5 linked regions of the Ovis aries genome follow. The protein of the gene in region 1 purifies or fractionates together with the protein of each later gene. This does not show direct contact. Links are inferred from orthologs where the notes say so. Each region holds a gene or a part of one and is shown in the gene's direction. Other genes may lie near its edges. The genes, in order: PDS5A, SMC1A, SMC3, WAPL and sororin.

Region 1 (5,723 bases):
AGCACTGAAGTCATTCGAGTTAGAACTGAAATCACTGGCACATACTTTTTGATTCTACGTAGTGTGCAGTGCTTTTGAATATCTTTAAACATTTCAAGTTACTATGTAGTTTGAAGTGTTAACTTCTTTTTCTAGTTAAGGTGTACAGTTTCGTAAAGTATACGGTTAGATTATTCAGTAAGACTTTTTAATATAGGGTATTATTAGATTTAAATTTCCCTTTCAGCACTACCAGTGCTGAATCCTGTAAGTATGGTATGTTGTGTTTTTATTTGTCTTAAGGTATTTTCTAATTCTTTTTGTGATTTCTTCTTTGACCCATTGATTGTTTTAAGAGGGTGGTTTGGGAATTCCCTGACCATCTAGTGGTCAGGATCCACGCCTTAATAGCAAAGGGCCCAGGTTCAGTCCCTGGTCAGGGAACTAAGATTTTGCAAGCTACATGGCCCCCCAAAAAAAAAGTGTGGTTTAATTTCCATATATGTGTGAGTTTTCCAATTTTCCCTGTTTTCCTTCTGTTACTGACTTTTAGTTTCATGCTGTTCTGGTCAGAAAAGATATGTTTTAAGACTTGCAGCTTGCTGTCGAGGCCTATTAAGACTTACGGTCTGTCCTAGAGAATATTCCAAGTTCACCTGAGGAAACTGTGTGTTCTGCTGCTGTTAGTTGGAGTATTCCATCTATGTCTCATACATCTGAGTGGTTTATAGTGCTATTCAAGTTCTCCATTTTCTCTTTGATCTCCTCTCTGTTTTTTCAATCCATTATTTAAAATAAGGTATTGAAATCTTATTGTGGAATATGTGTTTCTCCCTTCTGTCAACTTTTGCTTCATAGGTTTTGGGGCTCTGTTGTAAGGTTTGTGTTTATAATAGTCATATCCTCTTCAATAGTCCTTCTCGGTCTTTTGCAATCCAGTTTGTCTAATTATAAAATAGCTACCAGCTCTCTTCTGGTTACTGTTTGTATGAAATGTATTTTCTCCCCATCCTTTAACTTTCAATTACTTTGTGTTTTTGTATCTGAAATGAGTCTCTTGTAGACAAGATATATATGGATCTTTTTTCTCCCTTAATCTACTCTGCTTCTCTGCTTTTTAATTGGGAGATAAGGAAGAAGTTACTTCTGCCACATAACTATTAGTTTTTTCTGTGTCTTATATATTTTTTGTTATTTAATTGCTCCATTACTGCCTCTCATTTTTGTATTTACAGTTGAACTTTACAGTATGAATAGGTTTGAACTGTGCAGGTTCACTTACATGCAGATTTTTTTCAATAATAAATACTATAGTGCTTCAAGATCCACAGCTGGTGGACCCACAGATACAGACAAACTTCATATACAGAGGAACCAATTATACAGTGGGCCAAGACTAAGTTAAATGCAAATTACTGTGTGAAGGGTCAGCACCCTTAACTCCTGTGTTATTCAAGGGTCAGCTGTAGTTGTTTTTTGTAGGAAACTTTTTTTATTCTTTTGGATATATTTTTTAGTTATTTTCTTAATAATTACTCTTAACAGCTTAAAATTGTAACAACCTATTTTCAATAATAGCAACTTAGTTTCACTAGTGTAGAGATACTCTGCTCTTGTGAAATGTGAAATTGCTCCATTGTGTCCAAGTCTTTGCAACCCCATGGACTATATAGCATACCAGGCTCCTCCATCCATCGGATTTTCTGGGCAAGAGTACTGGAGTGGGTTGCCACATCCTTCTCTGCTCTTATACATCTCTATTTCATTGCCTTTATATTGTAATTGATACAAATTATATTTTTATATGTTGTTTCCTTTCACATATATGTGATTATTTTCATGCATGTGGTTTATTTCTTTATTTTTGGCTGTGCTGGGTCTTTGTTGCTGGCAGGCTTTTCTCTAGTTGTAGAGAGTGGGGTCTGCTCTCTGATTGCAGTGCTCAGGTTTCTTACGGTGGTGCCTTCTCTTTGCGGAGCACAGGCTCTGAGGCCATGGGCTTCAGTAGTCGCAGCACATGGGCTCAATAGTTGTGGTTCCTGGGCTCTGGCACACAGGCTCAACAACTGGGACACAAGGACTTAGTTGCTCTGCAGCATATAGGATCTTCCTGGATCAGAAATCAAACCCTCGTCTCCTTCATTGACAGGCAGATTCTTTACCATTGAGCCACCAGGGAATTCCCTGCATTTGCTTTTTAAATCATATATTTAAAAAGGAGTTACAAATCAGAAGCTCAGTAATGCTGGCCTTATGTTTTAGCTATGTTACCTTTACCAGTGGGTTTTTTTTATTTCTTATGGTTTCAAGTGACTGTTTAGTGTTCTTTCATTTCTGCCTGAAGGACTGAGTTTAATATTTATTGCAAGACAGGTCTACTAAAAGCAAACTCCATTAACTTAGTGCTAAATTTTCCTTTACAGTAGTCTCTTAAAACATATATATATATATATATATATATATATATATATATATATATATATATATACACTATAGGCAAAGAAGTACACACAGATTATCTTCAAGTGATTTTTTTCTCCTCTCGATGGAGTAAAACAGTAAGTCCATGGTGGTTGCCTAAAAAATCATCATGGGAACTTAATAACAGATTTTGATTCTAGATTTGGCAATGTAAGTTCCTCAGATGATTCTAATCTTCATCCCAATTTGGGATTCACTTTTACTTAGAAATTCAGGTGTCACCAGACACTTTATGAATTAAATAACTATAACAAGCGGAAAACAGAAAAATGACTTGAAATGTGACTGTTTCGCTGAGTTACTGGTTATATGCACACCAGTCTCATAACACATGAAATTCAGAGTTATGTCACAGTAGAATTACATACGAGCCCTAGATCACAGGATAAATAGCTTACAAATGGTCAAAATGGCAAGACTATGCTGTATGCTGGTTTGCTCATGATTGCTAGATATTAATACACAGTATATTATCTAAATGTTTATTAAATACCTATAGAATGACTCTTCACGTGTATGCCTCATGAAACTGTGAGGCTTTCTCATATTAAGCTATATGTTCATGTTTGTTATTTGTGATGTTATATCCTATTTTAATTGAATATTTTATTAATCATTAGCGTTTTACTCTTTGTATACTCGAACAACAGAACTTCCCAGTAAATTATTTAATCCACTCAGCGAAAGAACCTGCAATTAGTCTCTTTACTAAGTGAATATGTTTCATTTAGGTGCCTCTGGTTCATGCTTGAAGTTTTAATGACAAAAAATGAAAATAATAGCCATGCCTTTATGAAAAAGATGGCAGAGAATATCAAGCTAACAAAAGATGCCCAGTCTCCAGATGAATCCAAGACAAATGAAGTAAGATATATATTAGGCCAGTGACTATTAAGAAATTACAGGGAAAAAGTAATGTGACCCTTGTCCCACTTGTTTTTCCTATTGTATAATAGATTAGAGAATGCTTATTAAAATATATACTTATAGTTTATAAATATATGTACTTTTTCTTTCATTACATTGAAGTCTATTTTTGAAGAATGTTTATTACTCTGAAAAAGATATTAAAATATGTACAGAGCATGGGGATAAGAACTAGTGAAATTTATAACTATGCTGTCTTAAGAACTAGTAAGTAAGTGTTACAGACCCGTAGATAGTCTTCTTGTATGTTTCCTTTGGTTTGGTTTGTTGTTTTTAATGCATACTTGGCATTCATGTTAAAGTAAAACGAAGGGGACTTTTTTGTCCTTGTTACTAGGAGTCTACATCAGAAGAAGTGCCAGAGACAACATGCAGAGTGTTCAAGGAGTAAACAATAGCCCCATATTACTGTGTCGATTCCATGTTACATACTGGGTAGAATTGGTACCTGTGCTTGTTTTGCACTCCTGAAAGTTACGTGATTTGTTTCCTCCCTAGAAACTTTATACAGTGTGTGATGTGGCCCTGTGCGTGATAAATAGTAAAAGTGCTTTGTGCAATGCAGAGTCACCAAAGGATCCAGTCCTGCCAGTGAAATTTTTTACACAACCTGAAAAGGTAACTTTCTTCTCATTTTTCTACCAAACTGAACTCACTTAAATTTGTTACTGTCATCCTGGTGGCAAATACTAGACTGTCTTGACTACAAAGTAAAAAATATATACCTCTGTGAGTTTATCAAGAAAGGGGAGACTGTCTTCCAAAGCCTGAAAAATATCATTCTCACCTTACAGAGTAGAGAATACAAATCAAGCTTGGTGGTGGTGTTCCTATGTGAGCTATTCCTTCTGGATATTTCTAATATGTAAGAGGAATTTTCAAATTTCTTAAATTGTTTTCATCTCATCCTATTAAAACACTGTTAGTATTTTTTCAGACAAGAAATAAAAATGTTTGGTAGAGTATAAATTATATACATCTATATATGAAATAAAGTGTCAGTATGAATGGAATTGGTCTTGGCAATTGACAGACCTGGATTTGAAGTTAACAGGCTTCACCAGTGGCTCAGTGGTAAAGGATCTGCCTGCGATGCAGGAGATACGGGTTTGATGCCTGGGTCAGGAAGATCCCCTGCAGGAGGAAATGGCAACCCACTCCAGTATTCTTGCTGGGAAAATCCCATGGACAGAGGAGCCTGGCTACAGTCTGTGGGGTCACAGAGAGTCAGACACAGCTAAACCACTGAACACACACTCAAGTTAACTCTTCTAAGCTTCATTTTCTTCATCTCTAAAATGCAAGTGATGATAATACCTGTTATCTATTATTAATATGCCTAGGTCTATAGACGTTAGTCAAAATGAAGCGTTAGTAAGTGGTATCGTTAATAATGGGGCTTCCCAGGTGGCTCAGTGGTAACGAATCCACCTGCCAATGCAGGAGACGTGGGTTCTATCCCTGCATTGGGAAGCCCTCCTGGAGAAGGAAATAGCAACCCAGTTCAATATTCTTGCCTGGGAAATCTCATGCACAGAGGAGCCTAGCAGGCAGTCCATGGGGCTGCAAAAGAGTAGGACCTTACTTAGCGACTGAACAATAATAATTATATTATTAATAGTACATAGTACATTTATTCTGCTAGCAACAAATGAAGTTTTCCATGTAAGTAAATTTTTCAGTGAACTAATAGCTCTTTAAATTTTTCCAGCTAATTTGGATTTTAAGACTTTTTTTTTTAACAGATTGCATTGTATTTATTATCCACTTTAAGGTGATATTTTGAAGTTTTAACTTTGCTGTTGTTTGTTTTTTTAAAAAAAATTAATATTTTTAATGGAAAAAATATGGCATTTAAAAATTTCAACAAAAATTTGTATCCAGTTTTCTTTAATCTAGTACTCAGAATTTATGCCTGGTTTTAATAGGAATAATAAAGATTGCAAAGTTACTTGCCTTCTAATTGAATTTACTGGTCTTTATAAATACTCCTACATGAGCTCTTGAATTTAAATTTACTTTATTGCTGACCCAGGGCTATTATGACTAGAATAGTACCTATATAGAATTTACATACAGTAGTAGTCCTGTCATCAAGAATTTAAGTTGCTGTTTGTTACTATATCTTATTCTAATTGATTTTGTTTTGATATGAAGCTTAGAATGTTTTTAGCCTTCATAATAATACTTTAGAGTTTCCATTTTCAATGAGCATCTTTCTTCATTTCCTTTTCTAATATACTGCTTTTAATATGGTGTAAGTTCAAACACAAGAAAATTAGGGTATTAAGATCATGAGCTTAGTGATATTATAGTATATCTTGATGTAACATTTA
Region 2 (5,723 bases), on another chromosome or scaffold:
CGGCCTCAGTACATCAAGGCCAAGGAAAATACTTCCCACAAAATCAAGAAGCTGGAAGCAGCCAAAAAGTCGCTACAGAATGCTCAGAAGCATTATAAGAAGCGTAAAGGTGACATGGATGAGCTGGAAAAGGAGATGCTGTCAGTGGAGAAAGCTCGGCAGGAGTTTGAGGAACGGATGGAAGAGGAAAGTCAGAGTCAGGGCAGAGATTTGACCTTGGAGGAGAATCAGGTAAGCTCTGAGGGGTGCGGGGATGGGCAAATAGATTGCGAGGCTGACAGGACTGATTTGGTTGCCCCTGTCCCTGACACAGGTGAAGAAATATCACCGGTTGAAAGAAGAAGCCAGCAAGAGAGCAGCTACCCTGGCCCAGGAGCTGGAGAAGTTTAATCGAGACCAGAAGGCTGACCAGGACCGGCTGGATCTGGAAGAACGGAAGAAAGTAGAGACAGAGGTGGGCATGCCTTACAAGATTAGGGGTGATGGTCCAGAGAAAAGGAAGTAACAGTAGTCTTAACAGTAATGACCATAGTTAACATCTAGCATGGGGCTTCTCTGGTGGCTCAGTGGTAAAGAATCTGCCTGCCAATGCAGGAGACACAGGTTTGGTCCCTGGGAACATTCTCCTGGAGAAGGAAATGGCAACCCATTCTAGTATTCTTGCCTGGGAAATTCCATGGACAGAGGAGCCTGGCGGGCTACAGTCCATGGGATCTCAAAAGAGTTGGACATAGCGACTAAACAACAAAAGGCAAGCTCTTACTGTGTGCTAGGCACTGTTTTTACATATATGCAGTCATCTTTTAAAATATTTATTTATTTGTCTGTTTTGTTTTTGGCTGTCCTGGTTTTTAGTTGCTGCTTGCAGGCTTTCTCTAGTTGCAGTGCTCAGACTTCTCATTGCAGTGGCTTCTCTTTTTGTGGCGCACAGGCTCTCGGGCCCACGGGCTTCAATAACTGTGGCTCTTGGGCTCCAGAAAGCTGGCTCAGTAGTTGTGGAACATAGGCTTACTTGCTCTGCAGCATGTGGGATCTTCTGGACCAGGGATCAAACCTCTGTCCCCTGCATTGGCAGGTGAATTCTTAACCATGGGACTACCAGGGAGGTCCCTGCCTAAGGTTATTAACTGGCAGAACTGGGATATGAACCTGGGCAGTGTAGCCCACACTTTTTTGGTTTTTTTTTGGCTGCACCTTGTGGCATGTGGAATCTTAGTTCTCTGACCAGGGGTTGAATCTGCACCCCCTGCAGTAGAAGGATAGAGTCCTAGCCACTGGACCACCAGGGAAGTCCCGGAAGCCCACACTTTCAAGTATATTTCACTTACCACCTTCCTAATAACAATCATAGTAAAATAATAGGAATGATGGAAAGTTGTTATAATATTCCAAGAGCCTACAATGTTCCAGGCATTGTGGTGCTGCTGCTGCTGCTGCTGCTAAGTCACTTCAGTCATGTCCGACTGTGTGCGGCCCCATAGACAGCAGCCCACAAGGCTCCACCGTCCCTGGGATTCTCCAGGCAAGAATACTGAAGTGGGTTGCCATTTCCTTCTCCAATGCATGAAAGTGAAAAGTGAAAGTGAAGTCATTCAGTCGTGTCCAACTCTTAGCGACCCCATGGACTGCAGCCCACCAGGCTCCTCCGTCCATGGGATTTTCCAGGCAAGAGTGCTGGAGTGGGTTGCCATTGCCTTCTCCGGGCGTTGTGCTAAGCAGTTTTAAATGTTTAAAAGAAGGTATTAGGCATTAATTAATAGCTAGGGGCTTCCCAGGTATGCTAGTAGTAAAGAATCCACCTGCCAATTCAGGAGATAAGCGTTCAATCCCTGGGTCGGAAAGATCCTCTGGAGTAGGAAATGGCAACGCATTCCAGTATTCTTGCCTGGCAAATTCCATGAACAGGAGCCTGGTACACTAGAGTCCATGGGGCCGCAAAGAGTAGGACATGACTGAGCAATTGAGTGCACACACACACAGAATTAGTGGCTAATACATGTTAAGCACTTAATGTGTATTCTATGAAGTGGAAGTTACCTGCATTTTATAGATGATAAAGCAGAAGTGCAGAAAGGCCCAGAAAGCTTTACTTTGTCTTGGTTTGAGCCTGCCTGCTTGGTGAGGAAGATGTTCCAGGCTGGGTAGAACACCTATGAGAGGGTCTCATAGGGCCCATGGTGGCCCCATCAGTTAGCAGAGGCACACTGAACACTGTTTATATCCGATTTTTAATAGGCCTCTTATACTAGTGACAGATTGTCTGTGATTGTTAGGCTGTTAGAATGATTAGGCATATGGGGGATGAGCCAGGACTCTATGGTCTTGGCCTTAACTTGCTCAGCCTATGGTGATGTAGTGTTTTTGTCTCTCTCCCAGGCCAAGATCAAGCAAAAGCTGCGGGAGATTGAAGAGAATCAGAAACGGATTGAGAAACTAGAGGAATACATCACAACCAGCAAGTATGTGGCTTTGTAACATTCCCTCTTATCTCCAGGCCTGTTCTTGTGAACCCTACCTGTCCTGCCCCTCCCCAGGAAGGACCCTCATCATCCCTCTCGGCCAGGAATATTTTCTGGCCAGCCAGGGTAACCCCAGTATTTCCTCACTTTGTAGGCAGTCTCTAGAGGAGCAGAAGAAACTAGAGGGGGAGCTGACAGAGGAGGTGGAGATGGCCAAGCGGCGTATTGATGAGATTAATAAGGAGCTGAACCAGGTAATGGAGCAGCTGGGGGATGCCCGCATCGACCGCCAAGAGAGCAGCCGCCAACAGCGAAAGGCAGAAATTATGGAAAGCATCAAGCGCCTGTACCCTGGTTCTGTGGTAAGAGTCGAAAGGGAATTCATTTCCTGACCACTGTCTTTCATACTCACTGTCAGATAATTTTCCCAGCAGCCCCATGAGGACAGATTGCTAATTCCATTTTTACACCTGGGGAAAACAGGGTCAGAGAGGTTGAATGACTTGCTCAAAACAGCATAGCTTATATGTATAAGAACTGCAATTCAAATCCAACTTGTTCTTACTCTTAACCTTGTGTTCTTTTCATTGCACCAGTTGTATCTTTCTGAAAGTTTTGTCTTGCTTGTGTCCACTCCTTTATGGGAGGTGGAGAAAGTGAAGAGGCCTTTGGGAAAGGGAAGGGGCTGCAGGGCAGGAATTAGTTCCCAGGATGTATCAGTAGCTTTGTGCAGGCTTCAGTGTGAGCTCCTTAAGCATATAACAGTCAGCTCATTTACTAGGTTCTTTTGGCCTCTTGAATGAAATCCTGAGTTTCCAGATTCCCTGAATATTATCCCTCTATTGCTGTAATTCCATCCCTGGGTTCAACTTAATTGGGTTCTACAAATATTTCTTGATCATTTCCGTAGATCAGGGGTCCCCAACCTCCAGGATCTAATGCCTGATGATCTGAGGTGGAGCTGATGTAATAATAATAGAAATAAAATGCACAATAAATGTAATGTGGGATGATTCAAGCGCGTTGCATTTATTGTGCTCTTTATTTGTGGAACCAAATTAAGTTGCATAATGCCTGTGGTGCCAGTGGTCTATGAAATGGTAAAAGTGAGGTTTAGAAAGATGATTCTGGATTCAGACATGACTGCCTGAAGTTGTTGTTGCTTTGGGGCCAGTGAAGTGAAGTCGCTCAGTCATGTCCGACTCTTTGCGACCCCATGGACTGTAGCCTACCAGGCTCCTCTGTCCATGGGATTTTCCAGGCAATAGTCCTGGAGTGAATTGCCATTTCCTTCTCCAGGGGATCTTCCCAACCCAGGGATCAAACCCGGGTCTCCCTCTTTGTAGACAGACGCTTTACCATCTGAGCCACCAGGGAAGTCCAGAGTAGGCCTTTTCCCCATAGTTTGGGAGCTGTGCTCCTGATAGAGATTCTGACCTGCTATCCCCCTTCTAAGCTAGGAGTTAGGGTTCCTGAGCCAGCTCTCAAAAACTTCATGCTTCATTCACTCTTCTGACTTTCCTTAGTACGGCCGCCTCATTGACCTCTGCCAGCCCACACAAAAGAAGTATCAGATTGCAGTAACCAAGGTTTTGGGCAAGAACATGGATGCTATAATTGTGGACTCAGAGAAGACAGGCCGGGACTGCATTCAGTATATCAAGGAGCAGCGTGGGGAGCCTGAAACCTTCTTGCCTCTTGATTACCTGGAGGTGAGGCTGGTGGTGATGGGGTCAGGGCAGTGTGAGAGGGCTGCTCCTCCTAGCCCTCCATGTTCAGCCACTTAACTAAGCTTTTTCTCATAGGTAAAACCTACAGATGAGAAACTCCGGGAGCTGAAGGGGGCAAAGCTGGTGATTGATGTGATTCGCTATGAGCCACCTCACATCAAAAAGGCCCTGCAGTATGCTTGTGGCAATGCCCTTGTCTGTGACAATGTGGAGGATGCCCGCCGCATTGCCTTTGGAGGCCACCAGCGCCACAAGGTATGGATTCCCTTGCCACATTGTAGCTGGATAGGCTTAGTATTGGCGATTCCTTTGTTCAGCTTCTCTCCCCTCCTCTCTTTTCCCTGCTGTATTTAGACAGTGGCACTGGATGGGACCCTGTTCCAGAAGTCAGGGGTGATCTCTGGCGGGGCCAGTGACCTGAAGGCCAAGGCCCGACGCTGGGATGAGAAAGCAGTAGACAAGTTGAAAGAGAAAAAGGAGCGGTTGACAGAAGAGCTGAAGGTAAGCCACAGGCAGGGCTGTCCCTAGGAATGGGAGTCCTAAGCCCAGGCCAGCCGGCCACCTTCTTACCACCTAGCCTTTCCCTCTTGTCCACTTCAGGAGCAGATGAAGGCAAAGCGAAAAGAGGCAGAACTACGTCAGGTGCAGTCTCAGGCCCACGGACTGCAGATGCGGCTCAAGTACTCACAGAGTGACCTAGAACAGACCAAGACACGGCATCTGGCCCTTAATCTGCAGGTGGGACCTGGCTTTCAGCCCTGTTGGGCCATGGCCAATGGCCATCCTCATATTCCTGCTCTACGCTCAGTTCTAGGGGTGGGGAAGTTGTCCCTCTTCCCTCTTTCCTCCCAGTCTGTTCCTGGAAACCAGGAATAGATGGCATTGAGTTAGACAGTCAGGGGTTTAGGACTTGGCTCTATATTAGGCAAGTTACTAAACCTCTCAATGTTCAAATCCTTTGATCATTTTTATATTGGTTTGTAAGAGTTTTTTGAAAAATATATTCCAGAAATGTCTTTTTCAAATGCATGTATTGCAGATACTCAAAGAACATTCTTGTTTTTGTAAACCTCTCAGTGTCCATTTTTTCATCTTAATCTGTAAATAATCTGTAGAAGGATAGGGTCCTTGCACAGATTGAATGAGTTAATACATGTGAAGTATTTAGACTGATTGCTTGTACCAAGTGAATGTTCAGTAAATGTTAGGTGCTATTAACCTAATTAATTCATTCAGCAAATATTTGAGTTGCTTCTGAGTTTTGAAAGTGAGCTACAGATATTTCAGTCCCTGTGAGTGGAGGTACTTTTCTAGCTATATTAATGTGTTTGATTATGGGTGCTTCCCCAGACCACTCTGGAGGTGTTATGTAATATGTATGTCATTTTTCTAAAATCAAAAAGTCTAAATTCCAAGACACACCTGGCCCCAGGGGTTACAGATGAGGAAAGTGTCGACCTGTAAATAACAATGTTTATTGTGTGCCCAGCCTTTTGGATTGAACCTGACAGACTGGAGGCCAGGGAAGGAAGCC
Region 3 (6,264 bases), on another chromosome or scaffold:
ATCAAGTTGTCTTCTTATTGTTATTGTAAGAGTTCTTATATATTTCAGAAACAAGTCCCTTTTCAAATATATCAATAAAATTCACAAGTATTTTCTTCTTGTTTTATTTGTTTAGATGCACAAAAGTTTTGTTTTGTTTTGGTTTTCCAGCTGTGCTGAGTCTTTGTTGCTGTGCACAGCTTTCATGCTTTTCTCTCCAGCTGCAGAGGGTGGTGGTGTGGGTGGCGGGGGGAAGTTGCTACTCTTTCTTGCACTATGAGGGCTTCTCATTGTGGTGGCTTCTTTTGTTGAGAAGCACAGGCCCTAGAGTGTGCAGGGTTCAGTAGCTATGGCTTGCAGGCTCTAAAGTACAGGCTCAGTAGTTGTGGCATACGGGCTTAATTGCTCCAGGGCACATGGGATCTTCCCAGACCAGAAATGGAACTGGTGTCCCTTGCATTGGCAGACAGATTCTTAATCACTGGACCACCAGGGAAGTCCCTGCACAAAAGTTTTCATAGAGTATAAATTATGTTTCTTTCATCGCTTGTGCTTTTAGTGTCATGTTTAAGAAACCATTGCCTGATTTATAGTCACAAAGATTTACTCCTACATTATCATCTACGATTTTCTATTTTTAGCCCTTACATTTAAGGAGTCTATGGTTACAGCTAAGACCACCTTGTTCCTAGGAGTGAAATAGGCAGCCAGTTGTGGTAGAGGTTCATTTACATACTATATTAGATTAGGTTTAGGTGAGTGGAGGCTGATGTCAGTCACCACAGCAGAAAAATCACAACCTTTCACCCAGTTTATAGACTTTAGCCAGATCCCACACCACAGCCCATAAACCGAACAGAAGGCTGGGTCCTGAGCAAGGTGTATTCCTCCTGCAAATATATTCAGTATATTTATTCCTCCAATCTGACCCTGAAAGTTATCAGAGTAACTGACCCATCGGAGAAAGGGAGCAGTTAGATTTTTGAGTGTTACTGAATCCAGGCAGGACCCTGGGGGCCCTGCCTCATACCAAAAACCTGTGTCTCCCATTTCTTGTTTGTAAGAAAAAGGCTTCAGCCTCCTAGATTTTCCCTGGATTCCAAAGGGGATACTCAAAGTTACTAACTAGGGGAGTGAAGGAATGTAGAAAGAAATTAAAAGGAGGCAAGAAACAATAGAGCAGTGATGGGGAGGGGTCCTGGTTCTTTTTCAAGGTACACACACTACAATCTGGTACACATCTCTTGAGTTCTTCTACAGGCACTAAGTCCCCCAGGCAGATCAAGAACGGTAAATGAAGGCTGAGCGCAAGCATGTGGACCCCCGACTGGCTGGAACAAGAGGGCTAATTGAGAGTCCTGGAATATCACCGTTACTATACCAGGTCACACACCTCTGCAGCCCTTCCTCCAAAATTTGCTTATCAAAACTCTTCCCAGAAAACCATTGGGTAGTTTGTGCTTTTTGAACATAAGCTGCCCCATTCTCCTCGCAATGAATCTTTCTCTGCTCCAAACTAAAACTTTTCAGTTTGTTTGGTCTCATCACGGAAGTAATACTCAAAGTCGCAAAAACCAGCGACTTCCATCTCTTCTCCTAAGGGCCGGTTTGACTTTCCTAAAAGTGGTATGTTTTCCCTGAAGTGCTCTTTTTCTTTCCCTTGCCTCCTCTAATAAGTCATTTGTTTTCCCTGAAGTGTCCCTGTCCTCTTCATCTATTAAAAAGGTACATACATAAAGTCTTCTTCCAGCACCAAGAGGCGTTGACAGGGACGAAGTTAGTCATTTGAAATAGCTCAATGTAGAAATAATCAGCGCTAGAACTGTCCGCCGTAGCGGGACGGGTGGCGAGGACCGACCAACTTGAGTGCTGAGTGGCAGGTAATTTTACAGCGGCCCAGAGATCCGAGTTTTTCTCCTGCGATTGGTGCAGATCAGATACGCCCAGGGTTGCCACTAGCACCTCCAAGCTTTTAGGCTGTTAGGAAAAAAAGGGGGGGAGGGGTTTTAATCTTAAATAAATCTTTGCGTTCCAGTTGTCCAATCTGCCTAGATTTATACCAATTGGCAGAGCAGTAACAGCTCTGGGATATTAATAACTATGACATTATTAAAATTAATTTTCTAGCGTCAAGTCCCTTTGGGGCTGTCCTGAGAGTGGGGAGTCCAGAGTCAGCGGGGGCCATTCTAAGTTACACAAGAGAGAGAATAATAGAGGACCAGGGGTTCTGCCCCCCGAGTTTCCCCCCAGGTCGTGTACACTACAGGTTCGGGCAGCCGCGCCGCCCGCCCCAGCTCGGTATTTCCAAACAGCGCGAGACCACGGGGCCGTCAACTCGCACGGCTACTGGCGCTTGGACACCCTCTCTCAGCTTTGGCGCCGAACCTTTCGCCACCTTGTGGCCGCAACCATTGGCTGCCCGCTCGGAGGGTATACAGGTCAATCTCACGACCAAGGCTTTTCCGAATGAAGTTTCCGACTACTTCTCAGGGAAAATTCATTGAAAAATTGAGGAGTCACATGAAATTCAGCTAGCGACATCGCAGAAGGCTCTTTTGCTAAAAATACAGAGCAGATCTGACTCTGATTCCCCCCACGTTCCGAGGGAAGCTGCGAGGGTGGTTCCGTCCGAGGCGGGGACTCCGCCTCCATGGGCGCCGCCATTTTGTTTGGCTCGAGGGGTGCAAGCGGCGCCTTGGGGGGTGGGGTCGTTTAGGCGCCTCACCTAACCCCGCTGCCGAGTTGTTGCTGCTCGCCGGGAGCCCTTCTCGCCGGCCAGGGGCACGGAACCATGTACATAAAGCAGGTGAGGCCTGTGCGTCCCTCCCGCCCCTCAGGGGCTCGTGAGGACAGCTCCTGTCGGGGGTGTTGCTTCTTGCAGGGTGGCGCGGGGCTGGACAGGGACTGTGGGGGAGGGGCGCAGCTCGGGGCGCCCCTTTGCAGCCCGAGCCGCCCCTTTGCAGCCCGAGCCTCTCCGCAGGGCGCTTGTCTGAGGGAGGCGGGCTCTAGCGGAGAGAGCTGGAGGGGCTGGCGACGTGGGCCTTTTGGAGGGAACCGGGCCCTCCCGGGTGGACGAGAAGCAGCTTGGTCCTGTGGGGCTAGGCAGCCCCCTCGCGAGCCTTTTGCGTGGCGTGTGTGAAGAGAGGGTGTCCCCGGCCTCGGGACGCCTGTGGGGTCCAAGCTGGGTGTCAGCTTAGCCAGGGGCCTCGCTCCTCCCCGAGTTACCGGAGACGTGAAAGGGTCCCTCCTTCCTGCAGAATGTGTAGCGCCTCCTCATTCCGTTGTTTACTTTCTGTCAAAATGGTCTTCCCGCGCTGGAGGCCACCCCGAAAATGAGCCCATTCACACTCGTTAAGAGAAGTTTCTCGGCTGGATGTGTTGGACTCGGAGCAGTCCTGTCCTGGATGGGCGGCTCTTTTTTGGTCAGAGTGTGACTGAAAGGGGCGCCCAGGACCGCTGAGCCCCCCTGCATACTTGATAAGACTTTTATCCGGCCCTCTGATGGTTAGTGTTCCAGCCAGCCTTACCCAGTGTATTTGATTTTGAGCGCTCCCTAACAGGTTACTAATTATAACTTCTCTTAAGCAACACTGGTAGTGGTTACTGATATACGGGCAGTTTTAAGAAGATTTTTAAATCATTTTCCAAGATAAATTTTTCTTCTCTGACATGGGAATTTTTCTATTTGGCATTAAATGGGAAACCAGAAAGGGAAGGAGGGCAAAAGGAAAATACTAGCTTAGAGGTTATTTCTTTTGGGGCATGTTATTTCTTTCTGAAAAAAATCTCTCTTCTGTTTGTTAGGTTATTATCCAGGGTTTTCGAAGTTATAGAGATCAAACAATTGTAGACCCGTTCAGTTCAAAACATAATGTTATTGGTAAGTGTTCATGGTTCACTCTTGTCAGTTTTCTGTCTACATAGTCGTTTAAATTTGCCTACATTAGGCTTAAGGAGACAGGAATTGTCTTAATATTACATAAATTTGTATTTTTTTTTCTGTGTGAATACTTTTATCTGCACTGATGAAATTGCTTCCTTTTTACGTTTAAAAATACTTGGATAAGACAGAGTATTCATTTTTATTTGGTAGCCTTGTGTGTATGTGTTTTAATAGATTTAAGTTTATAGTGAATGGCACTAAATTTAGCATTTCAGCTATTCTTGGTATGTCATTTCCTACTTTAAAAGTGGTCACTATTGCCTTATTTCAAAGATGACCATTCTTTATTCACAAATTAGGTTGTTCTAAGACATTTTTTTTTCCCCATTATAATGTCCAAGGACAGACCATGCAGCTTGATAGGAAAAGCATAAACTTTGGATCATGGCAGAATGGGATTCAAATCCCAGTTCTGCTATGTATTCTTCAGACTTCCTGATGCTTCAGTTTTCTCACTTGGAAAGTGGAAATAATGATACATGTTTCTTAGGGCTGTTGGGAACATTAAATGAGAAAGCAATAATGTGAGGATAAGGGGGCTAATGGTGATTGTCCTTCAATATAATAATTAATATATAGGTTCTACAGATGATAGTGATACAGACAGCAGGTGTTTTCTGACCATCTGCTGAGTTTTTAAAGAACAGATTAAATGAGTGCTTCTAGACACCAGAAAGGAGAAGGCAATGGCACCCCACTCCAGTACTCTTGCCTGGAAAATCCCATGGGGTCGCTAAGATTCCGACACGACTGAGTGACTTCACTTTGACTTTTCACTTTCATGCATTGGAGAAGGAAATGGCAACCCATTCCAGTATTCTTGCCTGGAGAATCCCAGGGACAGGGGAGCCTGGTGGGCTGCCGTCTATGGGGTCTCACAGAGTCGGACATGCCTGAAGCGACTTAGCAGCAGCAGCAGCAGACACCAGAAAAGTATAGAATCGCTATCAACATAGATTTCAGCCCTACAGTGTCCTAGTTGGCTTGGTCTGCCACAACAAAATGTCATAGACTAGATGGCTTAAACAACAGGGATTTATTTTTTCACTGCTCTGGAGAACCTTTGTTTGAACCTCTCCCTCTTGAAAGAGCAGTCCTACCATAAAGGCCTCACTCCTAACCTCATGTAAATTACCTCCCAAAGACCCCTTATCTCCAAAAAGCTTCACATAGTAGGGTTAGGGCTTTAACATATGAATTAGGGGTCAGGGAGAGTATGTACCATGGAGTCCATAGCTTGAGGTAAGATTCATACTGTTGACTAAAAAAAATGCATGAGTTGGGAATTAAGTTTTATTTGGGGCAAAATGAGGACTGCAGCCCAGGAGATAAGCACCTCAGATAACTCTGTGAGACTGCTCCAAAGAGACAGTGGGGGAAGGTCAGTCTCTTAAGATTTTGGTGAAGGGGAAGTTCAGTGCATTCAAGCCTTTTGGTGGTTATTCAGTCGCTAAATTGTGTCTGACTCTTTGTGACCCCATGGAGTGCAGCATGCCAGCCTTCCCTGTCCTTTACCATCTCCTGGAATTTGCTCCGACTCCTGTCCATCGAGTTGGTGATGCGATCCAACCATCTCATTTCTGTCACCCCCTTCTCCTCCTGCCTTCAATCTTTCCCGGCATCAGGGTCTTTTCTAATAAGTTGGCCGTTCTCATCAGGTGGCCAAAGTATTGGAGCTTCAGCTTCAACATCAGTCCTTACAGTAAGTATTCAGAATTGATTTTCTTTAGGATTGACTGGTTTGATCTCCTTGCAGTACAAGGGACTCCCAAGAGTCTTCTCCATCACCACAGTTCAAAAGCATCAATTCTTGGTGCTCAGCCTTCTTTATGGTCCAACTCTCACATCCATACACGACTACTGGAAAAACCATAGCTTTGACTAGGCAGACCTTTGTAGGCAAAGTAATGTCTGCTTTTAATATGCTGTCTAGGTTAGTCATAGCTTTTCTTCCAAGAAGAAAGCGTCTTTTAATTTCATGGCTGCAGTCACCATCTGCAGTGATTTTGGAGCCCTGAAAAATAAAGTCTCACTGTTTCCATTGTTTCCCCATCTATTTGCCATGAAAAGATGGGACCGGATGCCATGGTCGTCGTTTTTTGAATGTTGAGTATTAAGCCAGCTTTTTCACTCTCCTCTTTCACCTTCAGCAAGAGGCTCTTCAGTTCTTCTTCGCTTTCTGCCATAAGGGTGGTATATCATCTGCATATCTGAGGTGATTGATATTTCTCCCGGCAATCTTGATTCCAGCCTATGCTTCATCCAGCCCATGCTTCATCCAGCCCAGCATTTCTCATGATGTACTCTGCATATAAGTTAAATAAGCAGGGTGAAAATATACA
Region 4 (5,723 bases), on another chromosome or scaffold:
CTGTCAGTCTCTTTTCAAACATTTTGATCTCAGGACTTCTTTATACTCTTTTTTTTTTTTTTTTTTTGGCCCGCCCCCCTTTATACTCTTAACAATTACTGGGGACTCCAAAGAGCTTTGTTTATGTGTGCTTTATCTGTTGATATTTACTAAATTAGAAGTCAAACTGAAAAAACTATAAAATACATTTACTTTCTTAAGGGTATTAGAGTTTACATACCATTCTTCTGTATATTTCAGCAAGTTTTTGAGATCTACTTGGCATTTAGTTTTCTGATAGCTGTCATCAGTAATTTAGGGTTTCTCCAGATCACATCAGCAAATATATGAAATGCTTTCTGTATATTCAACTTTGTGCCAGCACAGGGAAATAAGTAAGTGAAGGCAAGAGTTTTTAGTATGTTTCCTTTTTAGACTTTTTTGGTATATACTTCCATTGACAATTGTACTTGGATTTTTTTAATTGAAATGTTGTTGATCTGCAGTGTTAATTTCTGCTGCACAGCAAAGTGACTCAGCTATACATATGCATTCTTCTTCATATTCTTTTCCCTTATGGCTTATCCCATCACAGTGAATTTAGTTCCCTGTGCTGTGGAGTAGGACCTTGTATCCATCCATTCTGTATGTAATAGTTTGCACCTGTTAACCCCAAACTCCTAGTCCTTCCCTCTCCCATCCCCCTCCCTGTAGGCAACAAGTCTGTATATCAGTGTCATCTTTGCACAGGGACCATGCTAATATTCTCTGTTATATGTGTTGCTGAAGCAAGCACTATACTTTTATTGTTAATATAGCAGTTGAGATTTAGTTCTGCCTTTCTCTGAGAACTTGTTTTCTACTTTCTTTGTTTTTTATTTCTTTAAATTTCTTTTAAAGAAGCCATTTGTTTTCCCCAAATATTGTGAAACTTTATCCAGTGTCCTCTCTTCCTTCCAGTTAATTTATCCAGGCTGCTTGGATTTAAAGAATTTTTAACTGTTTTAATTTTAACTTTTAATTTGTAATTTTTGCTTGAACTTCCTGCCCGTTATTATCCAAATTAAAGGAAAGTGTTGAGATTTTCATTCTTAAAAATAGAATGCATGCATCATCAGTAGATAATTTACTTAATTGAATCCCAGCAGCATTTATAGTTTTGTTTTGTCTTCAGTTGGATGTAGAGCTAGGGCTTTTACTGATGTGTAGCCTTTTTACCAGACAGTATGCTTCTTAGGGTTAATGATGTTTAAAAGCAAATGGAGCCTTATATTTGGGTACATTGATGTTGGTAGGTGATCCCTTTTTAATGACCTTCAAAAATGTTTATCAGCTGTTCCTTGAGCGAGAACGAGCAGCACAGTTGGCAGAAAGTAAAACAGATGAATTGATCAAAGATGCGCCCACCACTCAGCATGATAAGAGTGGAGAGTGGCAAGAAACAAGTGGAGAAATACAGTGGGTATCAACCGAGAAGACTGATGGTGCAGAAGAGAAAAACAAGAAGGAGGAGGATGATGAAGAACTCGACCTCAATAAAGGTATGTTTTCTTTGACTGCTTTATTTTTTAAAAGATGTGTGTGTGTGTTTTTTCCCCTGTAAAACATTTTTTTACTTCATGTGTGGTCATAATCTTGCTGTTTTATGGCCTCTCTGGTTGAGTGCACACAGGCTTTGCTGTTTGGTAGCAGTCTTCACCTAGCGGTGAGAGTGGCGTGTATGTACTGTTGGAAGGTCTGTGTTTCCTCCCTGGGCCTCTCTTTACTGTCTGTGAAGAGAAGCAACCAAGTAACATGACTCCTAAGGGTGTTTACAGTTTTGATATTTTGCCCATATTTTAAATTGGGTTATCTTTTGTTGTTATTGAGTAGAATTTTTAGAGCCTCGATTCTTATCAAGTACCTGGTTTGCAGATAAATTCTATGAGTTGTCTTCTTGAAGGTGAAGCTTTAGATTTGATAAAGTCTAACTTACCTATTTTTTATATTGTCTTTTGTGGTCCTGGTGGTGTGTCTAAGAAACCATTTCCTAACCCAAGGGCACAAATATTTAGTCCTCTGTTTTCTTCTAAGGGTTTTATGGTTTTAGCTTTTATATTAAGCTCCCTCTACCATTTGTGGGTTTTGTTTTTGTTTTTGTTTTTTTTTTTGGTTAATTTGTGTGGATATTACATCTTCCTAGCACCATTATCCAGAGAAAGCGATGGCACCCAACTCCAGTATTCTTTCTTGGAAAATCCCATGGGCGGAGGAGCCTGGTAGGCTGTAGTCCATGGGGTTGCAAAGAGTCGGACACGACTGAGCGACTTCACTTTCACTTTTCACTTTCATGCATTGGAGAAGGAAATGGAAACTCACTCCAGTGTTCTTGCCTAGAGAATCCCAGGGATGGGGGAGCCTAGTGGGCTCCCGTCTATGGGGTCGCACAGAGTCGGACATGACTGAAGTGACTTAGCAGCAGCAGCAGCAGCAGCACCATTATCAACGTTTAGCAGTTTTGAAGTAAAGATGACACAGTTGCTGGTTTCCTAGGTGCTTTTGTTGTTGTAGTTTTTGGTTTATATATATATGCACATGCACTATTAGTTTTCTGTTTTAATACTTTCAGCCCTTCAACATGCTGGCAAACACATGGAGGATTGCATTGTGGCCTCATACACCGCACTGCTTCTTGGGTGTCTCTGCCAGGAGAGTCCAGTAAGTAAGAGTTCTGTGTTGTTTTATGTTATCCTATAAGAATTTCACTGCAGCCACTTCACATCGTTACTTAATTAACTTGTTACTTTATTTTTCCCTCCTGTTAAAAACTTTCAAATATTTGGTGAACTTTAGAAGGTACATTTCAAAGTAAGAGTATATTGGTTTCGATGAGAAAGTTCCAGATTGATAGAGGAATCAACTTATATGTCTTTGGTTGAAGTAAAAGCACCATATGAGACCTGTGCTCAGCTGGCTTAAGGTGGAAAAGGTTCGCCTCAGTGATACCAAGGACTCATAATTTCTACCTTTAAACTCTGCTCTCCTCTGCGTGTTGTCTTTTGCTAGCTTTCTTCATGCACCTATGCTGACTCTGTGTCTCACCTAGTTAAATAGTGCCCAGCAGAAGAATGTGGCCTGTTTGTTTCTCTTTGTTTAAAGAGCAATGATTTCTTTTCCCTAGGACTTTTCCACACCCAATGCAGAAAGTCGACTTCCTTTACCTTGGCCAAGATTGGCTCACATGCTTTTGTTTGATGACTCATTGGCCAGGAAAATGGGATTACTATGTGAGATTTAGATCATGAGTTAACTATGAAAAATCATGGCTCTCCCTGGTGGCTCAGAGGGTATACTGTCTGCCTGCAATGCAGGAGACCTGGGTTCGATCCCTGGGTTGGGAAGATCCCCTGGAGAAAGAAATGGCAACCCATTCCAGTATCCTTGCCTAGAGAAACCCATGGACAGAGGAGCCTGGTGGGCTACAGTCCATAGGGTCACAAAGAGTTGGACACGACTGAGCGACTTCACTTTCACTTTACGAAAAGGATGTGAATGTGTACACAGTTGGGCTGAATCAGCACAGAAGTGGACATTTCTCACTGTTTGAACAGTCTGCTTTAAAATGGAGGACACGTGGGATTTTTTTAAATTTATTTTTTTAACAGAGAGGCCCAGTAGAAGAGAGAAATTTTAAAATAAAAGAGAGGTGGGTTTTTTCCCCCTACAAGCAAGGGCATTCAGGATGCAAGAAAGAATGGAGACCTGTTGTATAGTGGGATGGCTAGTTTCTCTTTTCTTAAGACTAGAGGGCTAGAAGAAAAGAACGTAATCATGATATGAAGGGCTTCTGTCTGCCCACCCACATTTCCTCATTTTTGCCATCAAGTTTTATCCATTGTCATTTTTGTTCTTCCTGTGTACCTTATTTGTCTTAAGTCCAGTGTGTTTTTCTGGATCTTTCTTGTTCATTTATTCCATATTGTAGAAAGGCTCTGAGCTGAGTGCATACTGGCCCACTTCGTTGCTGGCCCTTGCTGGCACAACTGCTTTCAGGATCAAGACCAGAGTTCTTACCATGGTGCTAGAGGCCCCACAAATCTTTATTTCCTTTCCTGGACTGTCTTCAAGCTCAGCCCTTGTCCTTATTTCCTTAAAATTCAGAGATTTTAAGGGCAAATGGGAAGCACATACCAAGCAAAAAGGAGGAGGAAAGCACACCCCACCCCCACCCCCCAAAAAAGAGTGGGTATGCTATTTAAAGATTTTTACATATTTTGCATACACCCTGGTTTCAGTTGTGTTCTTAAGTAATCTGAAAATTGAGTTTTTTTCAGATGTGAATTATTTGTCTCTCATGTCTCGAGAGGTTAGGTTGTAGACAATACTGTGAATTTATAGAGCCCAGGATGTCTTTCTTACCTTAGGGGTCATTATGATTAACCCTGAAAAGCTAGCTGATGCCACAAAATGTAAAAGACATTGGTTTGCCCAGTGTTTAAGTGGAGGAAAGACGAGAATCAGGTGGTTATGTGCAGTAAGGGCTGTTCTAAGGTAAAGCACAGCATGCCTAGGAAGCCCAGGAGACCCTGGTGTCACTTTCCATTGCCCGGTAGGCATCTGGTGTGTTTTAATGGTCAGTCTTCTCTGTGGCCTTTCTGTTCTTGCTTTTCTCAACTCTCCTTTCCTGAAATCCTGCATACCACCACCATAGCTAACTTCCTTAAGAGCACATCTGATCATGTTAACCCTCCAACCCGCCAGTCTTTCTTGACTCACTGTCATTTAGGAAATGATAGCTTTGTTTACTGCTATAAGACTCCAAACTTAACTGCTTCTCCAGTATTTTATTTTACTGAAGCATAGTTGATCTAGTATTAGAGTCTGTCACACCCCTTGGTTGCGTTTCTAAATTTCTGAAGTAGGCCATGCCGCTTCACACCTTTTCTTACCTCCTGTACACTACCATTTATTGCACACTTTTAAAGTAAATGCTCTGACTCTCCTTCCCATGCCTTGGCTACTTACTGTGTTGTACTCGTAATTTGTTGATAGAAAAGGATTTGATTTGGGTTGTTGAGAAGCTTTCACTTGAAACCTAGGATCTAATTCTTTACTCTGAATGAGAGAGGCACCCTTTTTTGTTGAGCCATCTTCATAGCCAGCATCCAGTCTTCCCACCACCGTGCTACCCTGCCCCTCTCTGTGCAGTTGGTTAGGGTGCATTTAAACCCAGCTTTGCATTACCTCTGCAGCTAGCTGTTGCCCTCACGATGTGCCACTCAATATAGCCTCAGTGTGTGTTCAAAATACAGCATTGAAAGATGGCAAAATCCCTCAGGATTGGAGCTGCAAGCTTTTACTGAGTAGCTGTAAAAGTGGGAGAGAGGGGATTGGTTGCAAATTTCCTAAGAGGATAATATGTACTCTTCCATGTCTTCATCAACAAATACGAAATCAAAAGCATCCCTCTTCCCGTCTTTTTTTTCTTTTTGTATGTGCTTTTTATTATAGGTGAGCCTCCTTAGAAGAGCTTTTCCTTTTATTCTTTATGAATCTTTAAAGCATTTTAAATACGTATTGAAATAAAACAACATTTTAAGCAGGCCATGTGTTTTTCTTACCATAAACTGGTTTATATACAGTTTGGCTGCTTCTTGCTAATAACGGAGGGAAACATCCTAATCTTCTGTCCTGACATTGCGTACATTTTTTTTCTATAGATGATACTAGATTTCCTTTGGAAAGATACAGTTAATTCCTAGCCT
Region 5 (5,038 bases), on another chromosome or scaffold:
GTGGGCGTGGCATTAGGCTTGCCAGATTTAACAAAAATATGCAGGATTCCTGGTTAAATTTGAATGTCAGATAAACAATGAATTTTCTATTTAATCATCTCCCAAATTCAATAAATAATAATCTTGCAGCACAAATATGTCCCTTGCAATATTTGGAACATCACCATACTGAAACAAACCTCACTGTTTATCTGGCACTCAGATTTAACCAGGCATCCTGTATTCTATTTGGCAACCCTGTGTGGTGCATTGGTGCATAGCATATGCAGACCATGTGAGGCCTGCGTTTGTGGCCTGACAGCGCCTCGTGCTCACCTTCCAAGGTACAACTCAGAGTAGACACTTGTCACAGGCGGCAATCGTGAATGTCTCTCTCCTTCACCCTCAAGGCCCTGGGCTTCTGCCCCCAGGCTCTCCTCCCATCCATCTGCTCAGCCACGGCTCAGACAACACAAACACCCAAAGATCTCCCACGCTGACGCTAAAATCTTGGCTCCCGGTTCACTGATGCTGACTAGAAATACGGAGACAGAATCTGGAGGAAAAAAGGAAGAATAGCTTTATTCTTTGCCAGGCAAAACGCAAACGGCAGGCCAGCACCTCAAGAACTGTGCCCCCAGGAAAGACAGAGGTTTTACATCCTAATGAAAATCTTGCAGTTTTTGTTTTTTTTTTTTCCCTTTTGCAAGATTTCAAAACAGGGACTTCCCAGATGGTCCCACCCGCCAATGCAGGGGACTCAAGTTTGATCCCTGGTCCGGGAAGCAGAGCAGATCCCACATGCCGCGGAGCAGCTAAACCTGTGCTCCTAGAGCCTCTGCTCTGCAACGAGAAAAGCCACCACAATGAGAAGCCCCAAGTACTGCAGCAAACACTAGCCCCTGGCGGCCACAACTAGAGAAGGACTGCGTGCAGCAATGAAGACCCAGCACAGGCAAAATAAATATGTAAAATTTTAAAAGAAAAATAGATTAAAAAAAAAAACCTCAAAACAGCCACAGCTGGCATCAGGCAGATGGTAACTGGGGTTGGTCTCTGGTTATCGGCCCGTGACCTTCTTTCTGAAATGAAGCATGCTACGAAAGAGTGTAGGGGGAGAAGAGAGCCGGGTGCAGAGTGGAATTCTTGTGAAGTCAGAGAGTAATTTCCTTTGTTTAGCTTTGTGAAGGACAAGTCCAACTACAAGTTGTTTGTTAGCAGTAACCCTAAAGAATACCCAAGATTGCTTAACTATTTCAGTTTGTGCTGTTTCCCCAGCCTGTTCATTGTTTCCTTATTTTTCTAAGTTATCAGAAAAGTCTCATTTCTATTTTTGCTGCAACAAATTCCCCAGCATTACTTCATTCCCTCCATATCAATGGAGGAAGGAAACGGGGCATCTCACCTGGCTGAGGGCAAAGCTTCAGTTTTATTCCACCTGACAAACAGCAGGTCTCTGGCCCAGGGGCCCATCTATCTCCTACTTCAACTCTTCCTTATCCCCTGGGGGCCACAGCCCGGGCCTGCTCACCCCGGCTCTCAGTGGGAGCACCCCACGCCTGAATGTGTCATGTCCGTTGGCACCATCCTGCCCAAGCCACTTCCTCTTTTGGATTGCCCTTCCTTCTCTGGCCAAGACACCCCACTCGTAGACCAAGCAGCAACCGCTGGTGGAGTCTTTCTGGAGCTCCTAAGCCAAGTGGCCCTCTCAGTCAAGGCTTTCTTTACAGGCTTCTGGATGGCACATGTCCGTGCCCAGTGGGTCTGAGAGCCTAGGCCACCCCCGCCCCCCATCTCTGGGGGCTTCTGGGCAAAACTTGGTCACAATCATCTATCTGTGTGGTCTCAGTATCCAGCATAACACTTGGCTCAAGGACAGAGTTTGGTGGACCAGTGTTTACCAAAGACCATGAACTTCAGAGTGGATTGTGTTCTATCACAATCATAAGTCATTGCTTACTTCCCTTTCCTTGTATTTGGGCCCTTCAGGCAGGTTTCAATTTTTCTTCTGGCTGTCAGTCGGCTACTGTGGACCTCTGTGTGAATTATTTTTCTTTCTTTTGGAGATGTTTCTTTAGGCCTAGTTTCCAAAGCAAAGTTACCAGGGACGCCTTGTATTTGCAAGAATTCAGTTGACAAGATACCATTACCGTATAGCTTTGGTAGGGTTGCCAGATAAAATACAAGACACACCAGTGAAATTTGAATTTCAAAAGAAAAACAAACCCTTTTTAAAGTATGAGTGTGGCTTGTGAAATGTTTGAGATACGCTTGAAAAAAATGACCATTTATTCTGAAGTCAAATTTCACTGGGTGTCCTATATTTTACATACTAAATCTGGCAACCCTAACTTTGAGGTCAGAGCTGGTGGTGGTGGTTCTCAAGGCTGGAGATCGCCCCAAGAAAAGCAGGGGAGGCTGGGAAGGGGAGACCAGCGGGATGGTGGGGGTGGCTCACCAACTGAGTTACCATCTCCCTCAGTGTCCCTGGGATGGACAAACAGCCCACTCGGAGCCCGAGGAGAAGCCAGCGCCGCCACCTGCTGGGGAGCAGAAGCCAGAAGACACTCAGATCTCTGGGGAGCCAGACTCAGAGGTGACAGGACCTCCTGAGGCTGTGGGCGGGGCGGGGGCTGGAGAAATTCTTCTCCTCCCTGGAGGAAGGTCTGAACCCCTAGCCACTGCGCCCATCCTCTTACTGTCGGGTGTGGGAGGACCCCAGTTCTCGGGCGGCCAGCCAGCCTCATGCCGCTTCAGTCACCAGGGCACCCTCTCTGCCAAAGCCGTCTTTTTCAGATTCTTCAGAGCAGCAGCTGGGCCAGGAGCAGGAAGCCAGTGCCACTTTCCTGTTTACCCTCCTGACCGCAACCGAGCCCGCCAGCGACCCTGCAGAGTAAGGCCATGTGAGAGGGGAGGGGCCGGAGGGTGCTTCTCCGCCATCAACATTCAGATCTGGGCCAGGACTCAGCCCTGGGGCTTGTGTGTGGGGGTGGCCTAGACAGGACTGAAGAAGCCTGGGCCTTGGGCTGGGTTTCCCCTCTGCTCACCCCACCCTCCAGCCTCCAGCCTCGGGTCCAATCCTCCCTGTGCACCCACCCAGGGACTTGGACATCCAGGAGTCCCAGTTCCTGGATAAGGAAGACTGGGGCCCGCAGCGGACCTCAAAGGAAATGAGCCATTTGCAAAATGTGTGCCTGAGGTGAGCCGGACAGGGGCAGGTGGGGACGGGGAGGGTGACAGGGTTTCCCAGAATAGAGTGCAGGGCCTGTGGCTTGATGTAAGTTGGCACCTTGACTGGGCCCTCTTCCTTCCCTCCTTCCCTTCCCTGCTCTCTGTTCTGCTCTGGGTGACCTCCTTACTAGCCAGTAGGTCCCTTCCCTCTCAAGCATCAGTGGCCTTGTATGTCCTTTCCCAGAGGAGTGGGGGCCACAGCCCTTTCCCATCAATGTGCCCATGTGCCCGATTAGCAGGCAGTCTATGACATTGCCTGCAAGGGGCCACCATCTTTAACTGTCCAAAACTTGAGGGGTATTTTGGTCTGTGGAGAAAGGGGATGGGGGTGGTCAGTTCTCTGGATGTCAGGCTCTGGAGCTTAGGTCTGCACAGTCCCATGACCACTTGTCTACCAGTGGCAATGCCAGGGTCCAAACTCCATGGAGACAGAGGTCTTGGGGTGGGAGGAGTGTGACAGTCATTCCCCAAGGCTGCAGGAGATTCCCACAGCCATGGATCTGAGTGGTTGACACATATTCGTCTACATCTGGCCAAGGAGCTTGGGCCAGGCTAATTCCACACAGAGACCATGCAGAACCCTGCCACAGCCCCCACTGCAGACCAGAGGGGTGGGCGGCTAGCCCAAGGCTCCTTTAGAGGGTTCCCGGGCCAGTACGTGCAAGGCAGCAGTCGGATCTCCCCTTGCTAAAGAAGAGAAGCAGGATTCATCTCCCTCTAGGTCCCCTGCTGCCAGTCACAAGGGGAGACGAATTCCCTCCCTGCCTGTGGCTTTGCCAGAACCAGACTGGGCTCCTGGTGAAACCCTGGGCTTGTGGCTATGCCAGATCAGGAGCTCATGCAAGAGCTGTGTGCCGTGGGGTTGGGGGTTGCCTAAGACAAGTCTGGGGGCTGAGGGTGCAGGTCTCCCTTTCAACCCTAGGCTTCGGGAGTCGCTCAGCACTATCCAAGCCGACAATCTGGCTCTGGGGGAGAAGCTGCGAGACCTGGTGAGACCTCAACCCAGGACCCACCTCCTTTGTGGTGCCTTCTCCCCGCCTCCTAGCCCTGCTCTTGGGCAGGCCCCTGGCAGGCCGTCCTGCCTGGCGCCATCTACCCACCTCTGGCCCCTGCAACCCTTTGTTCCAGCCTGACTCCTTGTATAAAAGCCTGAAAGAGGAAGCAAGGGCCATCCTGGAGGGAGAGAAGGCCGTCCAGGAGGAAGGAGAGGCCTTCCAGGAGGAGAGTAAGACCATCCAGGAAGGAGCCCAGGCCGTCTAGGAGGGGGCGCTGTTCCAGGTACCAGGAACACCCAGCTCTGGGTGGGGTGAGAGGACCAGTTTGCCCAGCGCCACTCAACCGGTTCCCCACTGTCTGCAGCAACCCAGCTCCCAGATGGCAGGACTGGTCATCCTGCAGCCTGACCCTGCCCTCAACAGCAGAAACACATGTCAGCCCTAGGCCCTAGCTGAGCCAAGGCTGGAGACAGCACATCTCCTTGGGGAGCCCCCTGGCTGTTCCTCTCAGCTCCCTGCAGTAAACTTTACCGAATCTGAGCCATGGCTCCCCCTGCCTGTGTGTGGGCCCTGGGAACCGGGTGGAGAGGAGGCCACCAGCTCCAAGTAGGCCCTCCTCCAACATCCTCCACCTCCCTGGGCCCTGAGCTGCCCCCACCCCAGAGGAGGCTCCAGATCTGGCTGTTATCATCCTCAAGATCAGCAATCCTGTGATAAGCACTGGGGTGGGACTGGAAGGGGCCACACCCTCTCCTTGGGAGGCTGGAAGCCCCAGGTCTAACTCCAAAGGGCAGATTAGGGAGGGGCAGGAAGAGCCACTTTCTACCCTGTGG

The links.
Region 2: the proteins of PDS5A (region 1) and SMC1A purify together in Homo sapiens (co-immunoprecipitation; 8 studies listed by BioGRID and IntAct, with this or other methods). This does not show direct contact. The link is inferred for Ovis aries from reciprocal best matches to the Homo sapiens genes PDS5A and SMC1A.
Region 3: the proteins of PDS5A (region 1) and SMC3 purify together in Homo sapiens (affinity purification with western blotting; 8 studies listed by BioGRID and IntAct, with this or other methods). This does not show direct contact. The link is inferred for Ovis aries from reciprocal best matches to the Homo sapiens genes PDS5A and SMC3.
Region 4: the proteins of PDS5A (region 1) and WAPL purify together in Homo sapiens (affinity purification with mass spectrometry; 6 studies listed by BioGRID and IntAct, with this or other methods). This does not show direct contact. The link is inferred for Ovis aries from reciprocal best matches to the Homo sapiens genes PDS5A and WAPL.
Region 5: the proteins of PDS5A (region 1) and sororin purify together in Homo sapiens (affinity purification with mass spectrometry; 4 studies listed by BioGRID and IntAct, with this or other methods). This does not show direct contact. The link is inferred for Ovis aries from reciprocal best matches to the Homo sapiens genes PDS5A and CDCA5.

What each region holds. Positions count from the first base shown.
Region 1 is NC_056059.1:59,633,807-59,639,529, reverse strand, and holds part of PDS5A (sister chromatid cohesion protein PDS5 homolog A), read left to right. Parts: intron 1-3,191; coding exon 3,192-3,324; intron 3,325-3,885; coding exon 3,886-4,005; intron 4,006-4,181; coding exon of another isoform or gene 4,182-4,252; intron 4,253-5,723. UniProt on the Homo sapiens protein: Probable regulator of sister chromatid cohesion in mitosis which may stabilize cohesin complex association with chromatin. May couple sister chromatid cohesion during mitosis to DNA replication.
Region 2 is NC_056080.1:51,280,051-51,285,773, reverse strand, and holds part of SMC1A (structural maintenance of chromosomes protein 1A), read left to right. Parts: coding exon 1-231; intron 232-313; coding exon 314-454; intron 455-2,376; coding exon 2,377-2,459; intron 2,460-2,613; coding exon 2,614-2,821; intron 2,822-3,985; coding exon 3,986-4,171; intron 4,172-4,264; coding exon 4,265-4,444; intron 4,445-4,543; coding exon 4,544-4,690; intron 4,691-4,789; coding exon 4,790-4,927; intron 4,928-5,723. UniProt on the Homo sapiens protein: Involved in chromosome cohesion during cell cycle and in DNA repair. Central component of cohesin complex. The cohesin complex is required for the cohesion of sister chromatids after DNA replication.
Region 3 is NC_056075.1:30,647,490-30,653,753, forward strand, and holds the start of SMC3 (structural maintenance of chromosomes protein 3), read left to right. Parts: upstream 1-2,646; 5' UTR 2,647-2,770; coding exon 2,771-2,785; intron 2,786-3,783; coding exon 3,784-3,859; intron 3,860-6,264. UniProt on the Homo sapiens protein: Central component of cohesin, a complex required for chromosome cohesion during the cell cycle. The cohesin complex may form a large proteinaceous ring within which sister chromatids can be trapped.
Region 4 is NC_056078.1:40,191,512-40,197,234, reverse strand, and holds part of WAPL (wings apart-like protein homolog), read left to right. Parts: intron 1-1,312; coding exon 1,313-1,520; intron 1,521-2,587; coding exon 2,588-2,676; intron 2,677-5,723. UniProt on the Homo sapiens protein: Regulator of sister chromatid cohesion in mitosis which negatively regulates cohesin association with chromatin. Involved in both sister chromatid cohesion during interphase and sister-chromatid resolution during early stages of mitosis.
Region 5 is NC_056074.1:39,730,130-39,735,167, reverse strand, and holds the end of sororin, read left to right. Parts: intron 1-2,461; coding exon 2,462-2,643; intron 2,644-2,762; coding exon 2,763-2,841; coding exon of another isoform or gene 2,842-2,876; exon of another isoform or gene 2,877-3,079; 3' UTR 3,080-3,178; downstream 3,179-5,038. UniProt on the Homo sapiens protein: Regulator of sister chromatid cohesion in mitosis stabilizing cohesin complex association with chromatin. May antagonize the action of WAPL which stimulates cohesin dissociation from chromatin.